Linked DNA regions of Arabidopsis thaliana. The protein of the gene in region 2 interacts with the protein of the main gene of each other region in a biochemical or structural test. Each region holds a gene or a part of one and is shown on either strand. Other genes may lie near its edges.

Region 1 (11,031 bases), on a different chromosome or scaffold from region 2:
GAACATTATGGTTTAATCTTGATTTGATTTATACATGTTTACCCTTAGTCATGTGTGTTTCATAAATCATATCTCCATTTTGGATTTGATCTATTTCATAGAAAACTTTGCTCTATAGTTCTAGAGCTCTAGAGTTTCTCTTTCTACTTGTCAAAAATCATAAACCTTAACATGTAGTAGTGATATCTCTGTTTTTCTTTTCTTCTTACAAACCTTAAACAACAAACTTTTTTTTATCATGATTTTTTTTCTTATTTTTAAACCCTCAAAAGTGAATATATTGATATATCTATCTCTACTCGTCAGCAAGCTTTCCTCATGCTTCTCTCGTCATTCATTTGCTTTTTCATAATGATGTTGTCTTATTGTCTACATTGTTTTAAGGAACGGTTAGCTACGATTTGTTTATACATTTAAGTAGGCTCAGAATTATGCCAACAAAAGATAGTTTCAGAGTTTATTGCAACAAAAAATAGTTTACAAAAAGGGTCCCAAAACCCATTTAATCATTTAAATGATTTAGGGTACTGTTACTAATTATGATATGTGACTGTTGAAAACTTCTACAATGTTTATAGCATTTTTTGTAATGGAACTCCCAAAAACCCTGAGGGCTCTTAAAGATCACTAGGTTATTAAAGCAGAGACTCACTAATATTGTCATTATCTTAAGCTGACAAAAACGTAGAAAAATCCAAAAAAATAAATGGCGGAGGAAATTGACCAAAACGCATATATAAGGATTATGGAGTAAAAGCAACTTATGGTAGTTGGAGAGAAATTAACCAATAGAAATACTCAAAGGGCGCGTTTATTGCCATAATCTACGCCCCCTCCATATTTACACACAACCATATCATAATATTACCAAATATGAAAATTATATGTGCATTATCTTTATTACATAAACAATAAATACAGTTTATTATTAATATAAGAAAAAGATAATTTTTGATTTTATTTTTAGAGTGATCTTGGCCGTAGAAAATGAGGTGATGAAAGTGATGTGTCAAAAAAATCAGGAAATAGCCATATCAAGCATGTAATCCCTAATTACGGTCTAAAGGAATTAAAGATTACGGTCTACTTAAATTCAACATATCTACATGAACCTTATGAAAGGCTTAAGGGACGAAATTAAAATAAAATGATAACACAAGGGTCAATTTTATCTACAGTCACCAAATTAAAAATCAGATTAAGATACATTAAAAAGTCATTATCTCACAAAATAAATCTTTTCTTTGCTCTTTCATTTGTAGCTCCTCTCTCTCTCCGGCGCTAACGGGATGTCCTCACCATAACGCCGTTAAGTCTGGAACCCGTTTGAACGGAATTATCAAAACGGGAAGGAATATTCCGTTTGAATGGCTCTGGAACAGTTAGGATTAGGAGTGAGCGCCGTTGACGGTGGAGAGAACAGTAGCGCGCCGTCAAATGACGGTGGAGATGACGGCGTTAAGACGGCGAGACTTCCTCGTTGGACGAGACAAGAGATTCTGGTTCTGATTCAAGGGAAGAGAGTGGCGGAGAACAGAGTCCGGCGAGGGAGAGCGGCGGGTATGGCTCTCGGGTCGGGTCAAATGGAGCCTAAATGGGCTTCTGTTTCGTCTTACTGTAAACGTCACGGTGTAAATCGTGGGCCGGTTCAGTGCCGGAAAAGATGGAGCAATCTCGCCGGAGATTATAAGAAGATTAAAGAATGGGAGTCTCAGATTAAGGAAGAGACTGAGTCCTATTGGGTTATGAGGAATGATGTTCGTAGAGAGAAGAAGCTTCCTGGTTTTTTCGATAAGGAGGTTTATGATATTGTTGACGGTGGTGTGATTCCTCCGGCGGTTCCGGTTCTTTCGCTTGGATTGGCTCCGGCGTCAGACGAGGGATTGTTGTCTGATTTAGATCGGAGAGAAAGTCCTGAGAAGTTGAATTCTACTCCGGTGGCTAAATCAGTTACTGGTAAAATTCAGATCAAAGTTTAAGTTTTTATTTTGTATGTTCATCAGAATGATTCCATTTCTTATGAAGTTCAATTTTTTTGATGAAGATGTTATAGACAAAGAGAAGCAAGAAGCTTGTGTAGCAGATCAAGGTTTGTTTATCTCTCTGTGTGTATTTGCTTGATCTATTGCTCTATATGCTAATCTCAAACTAGTTTTAGAGCTCTAGAGTGTGTTTCTCTTGAGTCTTGACTATGTAGTTATGTTGTCATGTAGATAAATGATGTTTTCGTATTCTAAAATGCATCTCAAATTGTGTTATAAAAGTAGTTTAACAATCTTCCCTATGGTGTGTGATCTTTTCGTTTATGTTGAAGGGTCTCTATGTTCTTGTTTTTATACTAAAATGTTGAGTTTGAACTTGAAGGTAGAGTGAAAGAGAAACAGCCAGAAGCAGCAAACGTGGAAGGTGGATCGACATCACAAGAAGAGAGGAAGCGTAAACGGACATCTTTTGGTGAAAAGGAAGAGGAAGAAGAAGAAGGAGAAACAAAGAAGATGCAGAATCAGTTGATAGAGATACTAGAAAGAAACGGGCAGTTGTTGGCGGCACAGCTTGAGGTTCAGAATTTAAACTTAAAACTAGACAGAGAGCAAAGAAAAGATCACGGTGATAGCTTAGTCGCTGTTCTCAATAAGCTCGCTGATGCTGTGGCAAAAATCGCGGATAAGATGTAGATTTAGTAAAAGTTAGTTGTATATCACTTTGGCCATTACTTCTCATTCTTCTTCTTCCTTTTTTTTCAATCATTTATCACCATTGTTGATTGAATATTGATGCCACCACAAGAGGTTATTATACACATCTTATATAAACATTGAGATTTATACGGGTTTAGGATATCATTTGCCTTAGTGTTACCTTTTGACTGATTTGAACATCTTGATGTGTTGATGATTTGTTGCATAGCATGAAATTGAGTTTTCATCTTTCTTGCTTCCCCTAACAACAGGATTAATAACATAATATTAAATGGTATACGTAGTCATATGACCCTTGAACATATACAAATAGTTACTCAATTGGTTAGAAAATGACTTTGGTATATGCAGATTGAAGATCTGCCACTTTATGTTGTTTGGTAATCTGATAGCTACTTTGAAAACAATTTCTGTATTTTAACTTCTTCTTTTATAATCTATAGAAATTAAATTGAAACCGTATCTAACTCGAACCAATTTTTTTGTCTGGATTGTAGTGCAACATGAACTATATTTAACATATTATCGTGAGCTTGAATTTGAAACCAAAAGTTGTACTAATACCAAAACTCAGTGATGCAAAATATCAAATAAGTTCCCATATTACTTTGGATTATCTTTCACAAAATAGTTGTTATGCACATAATTCCAGTCCAAATTTGTTTTTTTCGTCAGTTATAATAAAAAGACAAGCAACAGTTTCATAAAAGCCGCACGACATATTTGACCACTGAAATTTATGTACGAACTTCGACTTCCATAGAGGTAAGTTAACTGACAAACTTTTCGAGTCAAAAACTTTGGATCATCAGACACAAAACTAGTAAAGAAAATTCACAGAGATGTCTACTTTCGTCATTTAAAATACCCCTCATCTGGCGCCAATCACACGTCGCGCTGACATAATTTACCTCGTTCGGATCGCTGACGTGTACGGTCTAGATTAAACTCCTTCTCTCAACTAGATTCTCCTTCTTCTTCTCTCTCTCTCCCTTCGTCTATATTTCACATTCTCTTCAAGTTTCGGCCTTCGGAGAAAATAATAAGCATCTCAAAATTTGGATCTGGAGAAGAAAATTTGAAAACTCTCTTGTTCTCTCAAAGGTGGTGGTAGATCTCGAATTGGGAATTTTCGAAATTGTGAATCTTTGAAAAAAAAAGAGTTAAATTGACAAAACATTTCCTTAACTTGAATCTCTGTTTTTTGAATCGTTTAAATTAGAGAAGAACCCTAATTTTTTCTGTTTTGGAGATCTCTTCTCTGGACCGGGGACTAAAGTGGGCGATTTTCGAATTCAAGGTTTTTGTTTCTGAATCGGGTTTGGATTCGTTTTTGAGCAAAGTTTTGAGATTTTTACATGCTTGTAGCTCGATCTGGTTGTTCTAGAACCCTAATTCGAATGGGCAACGATGAAAACTTGATGGTAATGGTGGATGTTGAGGAAGGTGAGATTCCTGATTCTGTCAACACTGAGATTGAAGTTAAGCACAAGAGTACTACTACTACGGCCGATGTTGGCGGAGACGTCGATGTTGGGGTTGTGGCTGGAGGAAGAGGAGGAGGTGGTGGTGGTTCTAATGGCAACTCTAGGGTTTGGACAATGGAGGAGTTGATTTCTCAGTATCCTGCTTACCGTCCATATGCGAATTCGGGTTTATCTAATTTAGCTTGGGCTCGAGCTGTGCAGAACAAACCTTTTAATGAAGGTTTGGTAATGGATTATGAACCAAGAGAGAGTGATAAGATTGTGATTGAAGATAGTGATGATGAGAAAGAAGAAGGTGAGTTGGAGGAAGGTGAAATTGATTTGGTCGACAATGCTTCTGATGACAATTTGGTTGAGAAGGATACTGAATCTGTTGTGTTGATAAGTGCTGATAAAGTTGAAGATGATCGAATTCTAAAGGAGAGAGATTTGGAGAAGAAAGTGAAACTAATTCGTGGTGTTTTGGAGAGTACTTCGTTGGTAGAAGCACAGACGTAAGACTATCCTGAGAATGGAGAGATCAGATGATGATGATGAAAAAAATTAAAACATCTGTCAGAGTTTGATGAGTGAAGTTTGATTTTTTTTTCTTTTCATGTTTTGTTCTGTTTCGTTTCAGCGGATTTGAAGGAGTTTGTTCCAGAATATTGGGGGCGTTAGAGTCTTTGCGAGAGCTGGTTTCAGATAATGATGATTTTCCGAAGAGGGATACTTTAGTTCAATTGTCATTTGCTTCTCTTCAAACCATTAACTATGTATGTGCCACTCAAGATCCCTTCCCTCAATCTTCTGTTACGTTTACGGTTTTATGTAACTAATCTATTATCTTTCAGGTGTTTTGCTCGATGAACAATATTTCCAAGGAGCGTAATAAGGAGACTATGTCAAGGTTGTTGTGAATCTGTGTTTTTACTGTGCCAGCCTTTGATTAAAGATGCTTCTTGGAGTCCTTTGATTGCTCACATTATTTTTGGTTTTTCTTGTGCAGATTGCTGACTCTTGTAAATGACCATTTTTCCCAATTTCTCTCATTCAACCAGAAAAATGAGGTGCGTTTCCTTTGGTTTACCTGTTGAAGTAGCACAAGTCAAAATCTTTTCCACTGTTCCAAACATTGGGATGAGTGCCTTCTCGTCTTACATAAGTACATGTCTTGGTTTTGCAGATAGAGACCATGAATCAGGATTTAAGCCGTTCTGCTATTGCAGTTTTTGCTGGAACCAGCAGTGAAGAGAATGTTAATCAAATGACTCAGCCGAGTAATGGTGATTCTTTTCTTGCCAAAAAGCTGACTTCAGAAAGTACACATCGAGGAGCCGCCTACTTAAGGAGTAGGTTGCCTATGCTGCCTCTTCTAGACCTTCATAAGGATCATGATGCAGACAGCCTTCCGTCGCCCACAAGGGAAACAACACCAAGTTTACCTGTAAATGGTCGCCATACAATGGTTAGACCAGGTTTTCCCGTTGGTAGAGAGAGCCAAACGACTGAGGGTGCCAAAGTCTATTCATATGAGAGTGATGCCCGTAAAGCAGTTTCTACCTACCAGCAAAAATTTGGTCTTAATTCAGTGTTTAAGACAGATGACCTTCCAAGCCCAACCCCATCAGGAGAACCTAATGATGGCAATGGAGACGTTGGTGGAGAGGTTTCCAGTTCTGTTGTTAAGAGCTCGAACCCGGGGAGTCACCTAATTTATGGGCAAGACGTTCCTCTGCCCTCCAATTTTAATTCTAGAAGCATGCCTGTTGCAAATTCTGTTTCTAGCACTGTTCCACCACATCATCTGTCAATTCATGCTATTTCTGCACCAACTGCCTCTGATCAGACAGTGAAACCTTCTGCAAAGAGTCGAGATCCAAGACTAAGGCTTGCGAAACCTGATGCTGCCAATGTAACCATTTATTCGTACTCGTCTGGCGACGCTAGAAATCTTTCAAAAGTAGAGCTTTCTGCAGACTTGGTGAACCCAAGAAAACAAAAAGCCGCTGATGAATTTTTAATTGATGGGCCTGCATGGAAAAGACAAAAGAGTGATACGGATGCACCAAAAGCAGCTGGAACTGGTGGCTGGCTAGAGGATACAGAATCATCGGGACTTCTAAAACTGGAATCCAAGCCCAGGCTAATTGAGAACGGTGTAACATCTATGACATCAAGTGTTATGCCCACGAGTGCTGTTTCTGTGAGCCAAAAAGTACGGACAGCTTCAACTGATACTGCATCATTGCAATCCCTTTTGAAGGATATTGCAGTAAATCCTACAATGCTACTGAATCTCCTGAAAATGGGAGAAAGACAAAAGGTACCTGAAAAAGCTATTCAGAAACCCATGGATCCAAGAAGAGCAGCACAACTCCCTGGCTCTTCCGTACAACCAGGGGTATCAACACCGCTTAGTATACCTGCATCAAATGCTTTAGCTGCTAATTCTTTAAACTCAGGAGTACTTCAGGATTCTTCCCAAAACGCCCCTGCAGTGAGTATCCTTTATATATAGGGATTCTAGAACCTTTTCTTTCAATTTTTTCTCCAACTATTTTTTGGTACTTTCAGGCCGAATCTGGAAGCATTCGCATGAAACCTCGTGATCCTCGCCGAATCCTGCATGGAAGTACTCTTCAAAGAACGGACTCTTCAATGGAAAAGCAGACCAAAGTGAATGATCCTTCCACTCTAGGAACCTTGACTATGAAGGGTAAGGCAGAAGATTTGGAAACACCTCCCCAGCTTGATCCACGGCAAAATATTAGCCAGAATGGTACCAGCAAAATGAAAATTTCGGGTGAACTTCTCAGTGGGAAGACACCAGACTTTTCAACACAATTCACCAAAAACCTGAAAAGTATTGCTGATATGGTTGTCGTATCACAACAACTTGGCAATCCCCCAGCAAGTATGCATTCGGTACAGCTTAAGACGGAGAGAGATGTTAAACATAATCCTTCAAATCCCAATGCCCAGGATGAGGATGTGTCAGTTTCAGCAGCATCAGTAACGGCTGCAGCTGGTCCCACTCGTTCCATGAACAGTTGGGGAGATGTGGAACACCTATTTGAAGGATATGATGACATTCAGAGAGTAGCTATTCAAAGAGAGAGAGTTCGTAGGTTAGAGGAACAGAATAAAATGTTTGCATCTCAAAAGCTCTCTCTTGTCTTGGATATAGACCACACCCTTCTCAATTCAGCTAAGGTTAGTTTATCTTCCTTCTGGTTTGATTACTTTTCTTATATTTTTTCTAAAGTTTTTGTTTCTATCGTTTTCAGTTTAATGAGGTTGAATCCCGCCACGAGGAGATATTAAGAAAGAAGGAAGAACAAGATCGTGAGAAACCATATAGACATCTCTTTCGTTTCCTGCACATGGGAATGTGGACTAAACTAAGACCAGGGATTTGGAATTTTTTGGAGAAGGTGACTTAGTTAATAATATTATCTTACTACTGTTCAACTACGTGTGGAAGACTTAAAATGTAAATATTCCTGTGAATTTCAGGCTAGCAAGCTGTACGAGTTACATCTTTACACTATGGGAAACAAATTGTATGCTACAGAGATGGCCAAGCTGCTTGATCCCAAAGGGGTTCTATTTAATGGACGGGTCATATCGAAAGGAGATGATGGAGATCCTCTTGATGGAGACGAACGAGTACCTAAGAGCAAAGATTTAGAAGGAGTTATGGGTATGGAATCGTCTGTGGTGATCATAGATGACTCTGTCCGAGTGTGGCCTCAACACAAAATGAATTTAATAGCTGTTGAAAGGTATCATCTTTCACACTATGGCTAACATGAGACCGTAGTACTTACTGTATAATATTTTCCTGCTGATGTTAATTATCTTGTTTTGCAGATATCTTTATTTCCCTTGTAGTAGACGGCAATTTGGGCTTCTTGGTCCTTCTCTTCTTGAGTTAGATCGTGATGAGGTACCTGAGGAGGGCACATTGGCATCTTCATTAGCGGTCTGCACTTTGTCTATGCACCTTGTTATGTTATTTTCTACTCTTCGTTTTGGATCTCAGCATCATCACATGGTTTCACTGTGCAGGTTATTGAGAAAATACATCAAAATTTCTTCTCGCACACTTCATTAGATGAAGTTGATGTGAGAAATATTTTAGCTTCTGAGCAACGAAAGATATTGGCTGGTTGTAGGATTGTATTTAGTCGGATAATCCCAGTGGGTGAAGCCAAACCGCACTTGCATCCCCTGTGGCAAACTGCTGAGCAGTTTGGTGCTGTCTGCACAACCCAGGTGGATGAACATGTCACTCATGTTGTCACAAATTCTCTTGGAACCGACAAGGTAAGGAAGTCTGCAAATTTTAACTGTTGGGCCACAGAAGAAATATCATTGGGGAGATTCTGAATGTGTCTGTTTGAGCAGGTAAATTGGGCACTAACCAGAGGTAGATTTGTTGTTCATCCTGGCTGGTAAGGCCCTCTTGGTCTCCTCTTAAAGATAGAAAAAAAAACTGGTCTATTCCTGATTGTAATAGTTTTCATCGTCTGAGTGTAGGGTGGAAGCATCAGCTTTTCTGTACCAGAGAGCAAATGAGAACTTATATGCCATCAACCCGTAAACCAAATCCATGATCCGCCCTCTTAAATCCCCACCATTTGGTGGAATTGAGACTTAAGAAGGCCTGAAAACCCAATAAGTCATATTGGGTTGATTAGGCTAGGCCCCGGGGTACATACACATTCTTTTGCCCCAAAAGAAGCGAATTCATTAAAATGCCAAAGGTATTGGGGGCTTTTAACAAAACGAACTCCACATTGTATCAATGGTCTAGAGTAGATCTACTTACTTTGGGATGGTGAAGGAAACTAGTCTGTCTCTGAATCTAAAAAAATAACACCAGAGAGACCCAGCATTAGAAAGTATGATGTGCCAAGGTCACGTGTCAAAGGAGAGGATCATGTTCAATTTTGGTTCTCATCTGTTGATTCATGATCGGTCAGATAAATGTTTGTTGTGGTATTTATGTCTCTTGTCGGAAGCAATTCTGATGGGGTACCAAGGCAACAGAGAAGAGAAGAAAGCTTTAATTGAAATGTTCATATGCCTTACTAATCCCCAGAATTAAATGTGGTGGAGAAACCAAATTCATTAAGTATGACAAACAGAGACCACATTAAACAGTTACTTGACGTCTAAGTTATTGGTAATGGATCATTATTAACCGTAAAACCACAATGGACTATATACTATTAAGGGTACCATCAATTGGTAAATGACTGAATGGAATTTGGCACGTCATTTCATTCTGCAGGTACTGATGCTTTTGATGAATATTTAGAACACACAAAAAAAAAACTTTTAAGAACTCAGAAATTAATCCTCAGGATCTCTCTATGCTTTTGCACCATTTGGGTAATCGATTCGATTATGTGAAGACTATAATAACCAAAAATGCTAATTTTAAAAGACCAAAATGATTGTATTTCTAGTGAAAGTCAAATCTTCCATATAACAAAATCTTGCACGCAGCCTCTACCGAGTTGATGATTTGGAGTTTGAAATTAATGTAATACCTTGGTTTAACAAATTCAATATATATAGTATATATTCTATTAAGGGTGAATCCTTCCGAGAGTATCTTTGCTAAATTTATCATGAATATCAAATATATCATAGTATTATCCTATTGTTAGCATATATTTGATACACTAAAGATAAAGAGAAAAGGGAGAGACAAAAGGTATGAAATTGGTGATACCACATAAGAAGTGGTTGTGTTATAGGCATGCGGCTCTTTAATTTAATAGTCCCCACCACATCATACACTTTTGCCCCATTTCTCGAATCTTAATCAAACAAGCTAGCTTTTGCTAACTATGGGAGAAGGTGGTCTTGTGAATCATATCACATATTGATTTCTAATTATGTTAATGAACTTTTCTTCCAAAGTTTAGACCCTTTTCAATCTGACCTAAGTCTTTTTGTGTAACTTCCAAACCAAATTAGCATGGTATATTATATACAAACGCACATCAAGATGGTAGTAACACAAAAGTGTCGTAGGATTGAAAGACACAACTTTTTGGTCTTGGGATTGTTTTTTTGTTTTGTGTGTGTGTGGATCTTACTGTTTAGCAGGGATATCCAATTAAGTACAAATAACTCAATATTAATCACATGTTCATAGAAAACTATAATTCTTTTCCCCTGTCTAAAGTTTACAGATTTAGCTGTTTCAAAATGTACATTATTCAATAATACTATGTACATCATTCTTAAAACAAAGAGCAGGTCCATGATAACTCAAATTTGAATCCAATAAAGTTAAGATATTGAAAAGCACCACTTGGCTTAAGTAATTAAACAAATGCAAAGCCAAGAGACCTTAAAACCTCAAGGCAGATAAAGCAACAGAGAGATCTGTCGAGATGAGTTAGTCTGTTTTACAGAGAAGATTAATCTTTATTTATCACTCAATGGTTTTAAACTGTAGTGATTCAGATAGACAAAATAAATATAAAAAAATTGTAACAAATAGATTTTATGGAAATAGTTTGGTTTACATTGGATTGTTCTTTTTCGTTTTTCGGTTACCATTTGAACCGAATATATTTTTAACACATAAGAACCGAAAGTGTGAATGTGTGTGCGCATTTCTCCTTGTAATTCGTGTATTAAAGAACACAATGTAATAATTATTTTGTTGCTAAAAAAAGTGATAGTACTTAAAACTTAGTTAGTAAAGGTGTTTGCCAAAAAAAAAAAAGTTAGTTAAGGTAAAAGGGAATTGAGTATGGAAAATGGAAGATCAGAGACGAGAGGTGAGAAGGTGGGGATGGGCCAGTAACACTCTTTTAGCCAACCTATGGCTATAA
Region 2 (6,579 bases):
GGATCCGCTCCATCAACTAAGCAACATGTTTGAAATTAAGTCTAGTGTGATGAAGATCCCACCAAAATGCAATAACATCGCCTGCCTTGTAATGTTTTCGTTCGAGAATATTATTCCATCCATGGAATTTGAAATTATCTCCATCTCTTCTTATGGTAAGAAATGTTGTAATTTTGGTATCAATATCAAAAAGTTCAATCACCTTTGGCTTGTTAGGAACTTGTAACAATCCGACGAGATAACTTATATCCATGAAACGAAATAAGTTGGCCTCTAGTAACGTTTTTGGCATCATTATCGTAGTACTCAAATCTATGTCAAATGGTGACAACGTTATCATGATGTTAAAAGGGTTTTCTACCTCATACGGCTGATCTTCAAAATACCTATTACCTGCCATATGATATGAGTTAAACACAATATATATATGAAAATCGGTTTTTAATGTTCCTTAATTACTCTGTAAATATTTATGTCAGGTTTCTATTATCTCCTTGTTTATGTGTTAAGGGTATATATAATAACAATTCGTCCAAAAAAAAAAAGTATATATAATGATAATAAGCAGATACAATTTTCTTTAATTCATAAATATTGTGAGATTAACAATTAATTAAATATGTTTTGTCTTTACTAAATAACACTAATTTTGTTTAATAAATAGTTTGATGTTATCATGACATATATAGATTTATAGTTTTTCAATTCTAACACGTGTTAAAAGTAAACTAAAATTTGACAAAGATGATTTGACATTTTTTTAATAGTAAACACTGAAACTATTAATTACTTGATTTCTTTTGAAAGTACATCACTTTTAGAAAGAAAAAAAAATGTTTCAGTTTTGATTTGTATTTGACATTGTTGGTGCATGTAATTGTAAGCTTGCAAATTTAAACTCGGTAAGATAATGTGAGACGTGTTAAAAAAAAAAAAAGATATTGTAAGACCGTCTTACTAAGACGTGTTACAAAATATAACCTATTTTTAGCCAAAATATTACTGTAGTGTTAATTAGATTATCAAATGTGTTAAATTAATTGTATTGTCGATACATATGTTGATTACCACAAAATAGAAAATTATATGAAAACACAAACTATTAATTATCATCGAAAAGATCTGATGTCATCTTTGTTAATATTTTCGTAATTGTGTTAACATATAAATCACCACCGAGAACCAAATCGGTCCGGTTGAAAACCTTTTGAAAACAAGACACGAGAAAAATTCTTATTATTATTACTAAATTCACATGAGATCATGAAATAGATAAACGAGTTAGATCAGAAGCAAGCGGAGTAACATTATCTCTCAAAACAACAACAAACTTTTCAGAACCAGGGTTCTTCTGTAACTTTGCGATCTTCTTGAGAATATGGGAAAAGGAATCCTTGTCCTCTGTGGTTGTAAGTCTTTCCTTAAACCTCATAACAAGTTCCAGTGTAGTTAATTGCTTCTTCTCCATCAGAACTTTGCGGATTTCGTCTTCAGTCACAAGTTCCATCTTGCGTGGTTGAAGATTAGATCGGATGTTGAGCTTGTTCACACGACTTTCTCTCTTCCCTGGTTTAGGCTGACATCTGTAAAACAAAGGAGAGAACAATAATACTTCGCCTTTTATATTGTAGCGTTGCTTGCTCACCAAGGCAAAGTTTCTTATATTGTCCTTTTAATGACTCTGATTTTCTTTTTTTTGGAGAGAAAAGTAGTAGAATCTCGTCTTAGGAGAAACTCTGTTTCTTTATATAAGAGTCCCAACGATCTTATCTCTCCATCATATAAGCAGTTGGAAACCTAATTGTATTTATCCGAATCTCAGTAAATCCTAATCACAATAGGATCCCTACGAATGGGCTTTTTTATGGTTACTATTTTCCTCTTCACAATTGGGCTTTCACTGGAACATTCCATTTTTGAAAACCTTCGCATAAAACATTTTTTTCGAATAAAACATTTGAAGATTTTCAATTACTAATAGTGTCATGGGAAAAAAATAGGTCCAACTTTAAACATCTGAAATCAAGAAATGAGAAAAACATTCTTATTTTAACTAGCTCATGAGATATCTTGAAATCTTTTTGAAAAGAGTTAGCTGTGAAAACAGGAAGTCCTCACTTTTCTCTCAAAACGACGAAGTTTTGAGAACCAGCGTTCTTCTGTATCTTTGAGATCTTCCTCAGAATATTGGCAAAGGCATTCTTGTCCTGTAAAAAGACACAGTTATATAACACAAACGATTGATTTGTCCAGAATAAGCTCAGATAAAAACCATATGGTCACTTCAAGAAGGAATATTAGACTAAATATTACCTCTTTGGTCTTAAGTCTTGCCTTAAACCTGGAAACAAGATCCTGTGTAGTGACTTGCTTCTTTTCCATCAGAACAGCGCGGATTTCATCTTCAGTCACAGGCCCAGTCGCAGCTGAGGATGATGATGCAGGAGCTGAAGCTGGTTCAGCTTTCACAGCTTTTGTTGGTGTGTTGGATTTGGAAACTGTGTTTGCTCTCTCTTCTTTCAAAGAAGATTTCGGATCCTGCTTACAAAGATTACAGAAACCTGTTTGTTAGAAATCAAATCCAGCACAAACGATCAACTCTTTCTCAAACATAGAAATCAAGTATCTTACATTTTCAGTCTTCACTTTCTTTTGAACAGAGCTGCTAGGCTTTTTAGAATCGCCGTCGTTTAGTTTTCTCTTTCCCTTGGATGGTTTTGCAGGAGGTGTTCCACGAGGAGGTCCAGATGGTGCAGGTTTTGCAGGTGCATTATCAACAGGTTCTTCTTTCGCCGCCTCCTTCTGTTTTGAGTTCGTAACTGTACCGTAGTTTGTCTCCTCCTCCTAAGAATGACATTCATGATGATTTGCGTGTATCCAAACCAGATAAAATGAGTTTGATTGAAAATTTAACAATTTTTTAAGAAGTAAAATATGTCAAAAGAGGGCTTACATCATCAGAATCATCATCATCGTCTTCATCAGATTCGTCCAAACCATTAGCCTTACCAAGCAGTTTCTTCAACTCTTTACCAGATTTGCTCAAACCTCCCTCCTCTTCTTCATTTTCTTCATCATCCTCATCCTGCAAGGGATGTCAAAAGAAAGTTACGACCTCATAGGAAGTAAAGGCACAACAATCCTGTAATTAGTAAACATTGAAACTTGGATAACATATAAATGGGATTACCAACAGAAATTACTACAGTTAGTTTCACAGAAAATTGTACATTGGAAGTAAAGCACTATAGTAAGTACAGACCTGCTTTATTTCTGGAGGAGCAGGAATTTCAGGAGCCAGAAGGTCTTCACGTTCCTCAGGATCATTACCGACTGCTTCATCATCATCCGTGAAAATTTCCTCGTGCTCCCAGTCATCCCCTGAATGCATTATAATTTACAGACATTTCAGCAGTTTTGTTAAATAGACAATGAAGAACAATCATGTCAATCTATTGACGAAAATGCTAAAGTCATTCTTAAGCTTCTTGACGATCATTTGGTAATAGATCACTCACCCTTCTCAATGTCATCATCATCCATGTCAAGATCACCACCCCTTGGACCTTCTTCATCATCATCATCATTACTCTTTCTATTAAGTCCAAGTCTACTTTTCCGTGACGCCTCTTCCTCTTCATCTTCATCCCCTCTGTCAGAAACATTTCCTTCCTCTTCATCACCGCCTGATGACTTCTTACGACCCCTACCACCACCTCCACTGGTTCCACCGCTCTCCTTTTCATTATCCACTTCTCCAAACAACGCTGGACCATTATTCGCAGCTTTCATCATCCACCTTTGATAACCATCAGCCGTTTTTCTCCGATTCTTCATCTTCTCTTCCGCTTCTTCCAATGTAAGTTGCTTATACTGTGCAACCTTGTTGAAGTTATACCTAACACAGCACAAAAATAATCAGAATTCGGATAATACAACAACAGAAGAAGCAACGGTAATTTGATTCTCCATACCAAGAACCAGCAGGAATCGCAACAAACTCTTTGTTCTGCATCACTAAGAGATAGTAAGTAGCAGACTGAGAGCCTTCAAGATGTCCCTGGTACTGAAACTGTCCAGTTTCATCTTCCAAGATCCAAGGTTTGTTCTTTAACTTCTCCTACAAAAATTAGAATCCACACAAAACTCATTGTAAAAACCATCAAAATGATTGGTATGATCCAAAACAAACACAAAATTACCCGTTGTGCATCTGTAAACTGACGACCTTGCGGTATATCTTTACGAAGAGACCATTTATTCTCAGAACCTTTCTTGAAATTAGGAAGACCAGTCACAAATCTACCAATGAAGTAGTTCTTATCCGTAGGTGCCGCAGCACGAACGTTATACTCCTAAACAATTTCACCCAAACAACAATTTTATCAAAATTTTCTTCAGAAACTCAAAATTGTTTGAAGAAACACACAAAATCTAACCCGAATCAAACGTGTAACGACGGTTCCACACTCGTGACACTTAGATTTATTCTGCGCCATGGTTCTACCACACTTCAAACACAACGTCATGTGTCTACAAGAGCTTCCATATAAATCGGATTGTGATCCGCAACCAACACAAGACGTATTCAATTGCAAACAGTTCGACATAATGTTCTGATCCCAAGGAAATCGTCTTCTTTCTGAAACCGTAAAAGAAGAGAGAATTTAGGGCTTCACGATTTTCGAAAATCTAATTGCGAAGCTAACAGAAGGAATCCAAGATAAAATCTAACGATTGTGTTGTTGGAATCTAGGGTTCTTATTACCTTTCTGAGATTTGAGATTGCAATTCAGAGTTTTGTTTGCGAATGATTTTGAGAGAATGTTAAGCTTTGGGATCTCTAATGAAGAGGAGGTTATAAATAGTGAGTCCGAAGACTTACATGTTAAAAGACTGATTTACCCTTTTGACTGATCCAAAGAATACAAGTGTTTTTTTTTGGGTCTCAACTTAATAACATTCATTTAACCATATCCAATATTTATATTTTTGATACAAACATGCTAGTTTTAATATCTTGTGCTTAGTAGCAGAAGGAGAAAGTTTGTATCCTACTTATGATAGGTTCTACGTGCTTCATTTGGCTCCCAATATTACATATCAATTATCCCATTATGCAACAAAAGACCAAAGTCACCAAACAAATAACCAAATTGAAGAAACTCACTTTAAAAGGATTCTTGTTGTTCATAAATGCATTGGCACCAACACAATATCAAATAAAAAGCATTACAATCTTCAAAAAGGATAGGATTCGTTCACAAGTTTTTTGTTTTTCTCATAGGCTAAAAAGTTGCACATAAACTCACTTCAGTCCAAGCCTCTTCATAAATGGAGAGACCCATCATTCATTCATTCCACCAAGAATCTAGATGAGGAGCTTCTCAATGGCATCCTTAAGGTGCTGAATTTGAGATTTCAACTGACTAGCCTCGTTTGATGTAACGGAACAAGCGATCACGGGTCTGGTTACATCACATGCTCTTCCAAGGGCTTGTTTCGATGGCACAAACACATACGGCACATTCTGCAATAGTTCAAAGCCAGAGAGAGAACAACTAATTAGTAAAAGAATCAGAATCAGAATGTTGCTTGTGAAACAGATTTGCTGAATACAAATAAAGATATGTTTGTGCAGCCAAATTTAAATAGGCCAAAAAAAAAAAACTTGAATGGGAACTGTCAACTAAACATTCATGAATCAACAGAGCATAATACTCAGAAGCTAAAGTAATGATATTGTCAATCCTAAGACCAAGAATCACAGATTTAACTCATTACACAAGCTACGTTAATACAGAACAAACGAACTTCTCAATGCCTAAAAATCCTAATTGAATCTGTCTCCTACATTCATAAACTAAATTACCTAAGTGATTACTACGAACATCAACAATCACAATCTCAAAACTGGAGTCTAATAGCCAATAAAGTCTTATCTTTTTATCATATGAAGAAGATACCCAAGTGAATCCAGTAAAACTTGCAAGAGCCAAAGAAACTACTAATTGAGATTCATAAGAAAGTGAAACGATAAGAAGAAATTCAAATACCTTATCTTCAGCAAGAAGAGGAAGATGAAGAAGAATCTCGAGAGGCTCAGTATCAGCAGCCATAACAATGAACTCAGAGATCCCACGGTTCAATGTCTTGGTAGCTTCATTAGCTCCTTTCTTTAACTGTTTGTAATTCGTAGCTTGTTGAACAAGATCAAGAATCGTTATCGATAACTGAGAATCAGCTAACGGATACGCCTTAGGGTTCACTCCTTCTACCGTCATCTTCTTCTTCGTCTACGAGAGTTCTTTGTTCTAAGTTCTGAGTTCAGGGAAGAAAGAAGCGGTGAGGAGAACAAGGTAGCTAGGGTTTTAGTTTGGGTTTAATAGACAAACGAATTAGGGTTTTATAAAGGGAACACATCAAAGCCTCTCTCTGACTCAGAAGGTTTCAGATATTTTTTAAATAAAAAAAATAAAATAATTTCCACTAAATTATCGGATTCTCAGCTCTTCTCTCAGAATCTCAGATCGTGTTTTGTTTGCTTCACCAGAGAAGATCGAAGACGAAGAAGACGAG

Evidence for each region.
Region 1: the proteins of RAP74 (region 2) and CPL3 form a complex in vitro, tested with the Arabidopsis thaliana proteins (one study listed by BioGRID).

The regions. Positions count from the first base shown.
Region 1 is NC_003071.7:14,201,824-14,212,854, reverse strand, and holds CPL3 (C-terminal domain phosphatase-like 3), read left to right. Parts: upstream 1-3,662; 5' UTR 3,663-4,057; coding exon 4,058-4,680; exon of another isoform or gene 4,681-4,805; coding exon 4,806-4,941; intron 4,942-5,019; coding exon 5,020-5,075; intron 5,076-5,174; coding exon 5,175-5,235; intron 5,236-5,351; coding exon 5,352-6,665; intron 6,666-6,742; coding exon 6,743-7,381; intron 7,382-7,455; coding exon 7,456-7,602; intron 7,603-7,684; coding exon 7,685-7,953; intron 7,954-8,041; coding exon 8,042-8,153; intron 8,154-8,239; coding exon 8,240-8,497; intron 8,498-8,578; coding exon 8,579-8,625; intron 8,626-8,710; coding exon 8,711-8,774; 3' UTR 8,775-9,454; downstream 9,455-11,031. Other genes in the region: AT2G33550 (Homeodomain-like superfamily protein), read left to right, coding at 1,368-1,956, 2,045-2,089, 2,365-2,675. UniProt on the Arabidopsis thaliana protein: Completely dephosphorylates 'Ser-2', and partially 'Ser-5' and 'Ser-7' of the heptad repeats YSPTSPS in the C-terminal domain (CTD) of the largest RNA polymerase II subunit (RPB1). Involved in defense response.
Region 2 is NC_003075.7:7,453,001-7,459,579, reverse strand, and holds RAP74 (transcription initiation factor IIF subunit alpha RAP74), read right to left. Parts: upstream 4,842-6,579; 5' UTR 4,769-4,841; intron 4,643-4,768; 5' UTR 4,611-4,642; coding exon 4,440-4,610; intron 4,356-4,439; coding exon 4,203-4,355; intron 4,121-4,202; coding exon 3,975-4,120; intron 3,899-3,974; coding exon 3,519-3,898; intron 3,382-3,518; coding exon 3,263-3,381; intron 3,086-3,262; coding exon 2,954-3,085; intron 2,845-2,953; coding exon 2,632-2,844; intron 2,539-2,631; coding exon 2,314-2,538; intron 2,208-2,313; coding exon 2,119-2,207; coding exon of another isoform or gene 2,115-2,118; exon of another isoform or gene 1,584-2,114; coding exon 1,262-1,583; 3' UTR 1,225-1,261; downstream 1-1,224. Other genes in the region: AT4G12617 (B3 domain protein), read right to left, coding at 17-400; AT4G12600 (Ribosomal protein L7Ae/L30e/S12e/Gadd45 family protein), read right to left, coding at 5,372-5,530, 5,892-6,284. UniProt on the Arabidopsis thaliana protein: TFIIF is a general transcription initiation factor that binds to RNA polymerase II and helps to recruit it to the initiation complex in collaboration with TFIIB. It promotes transcription elongation.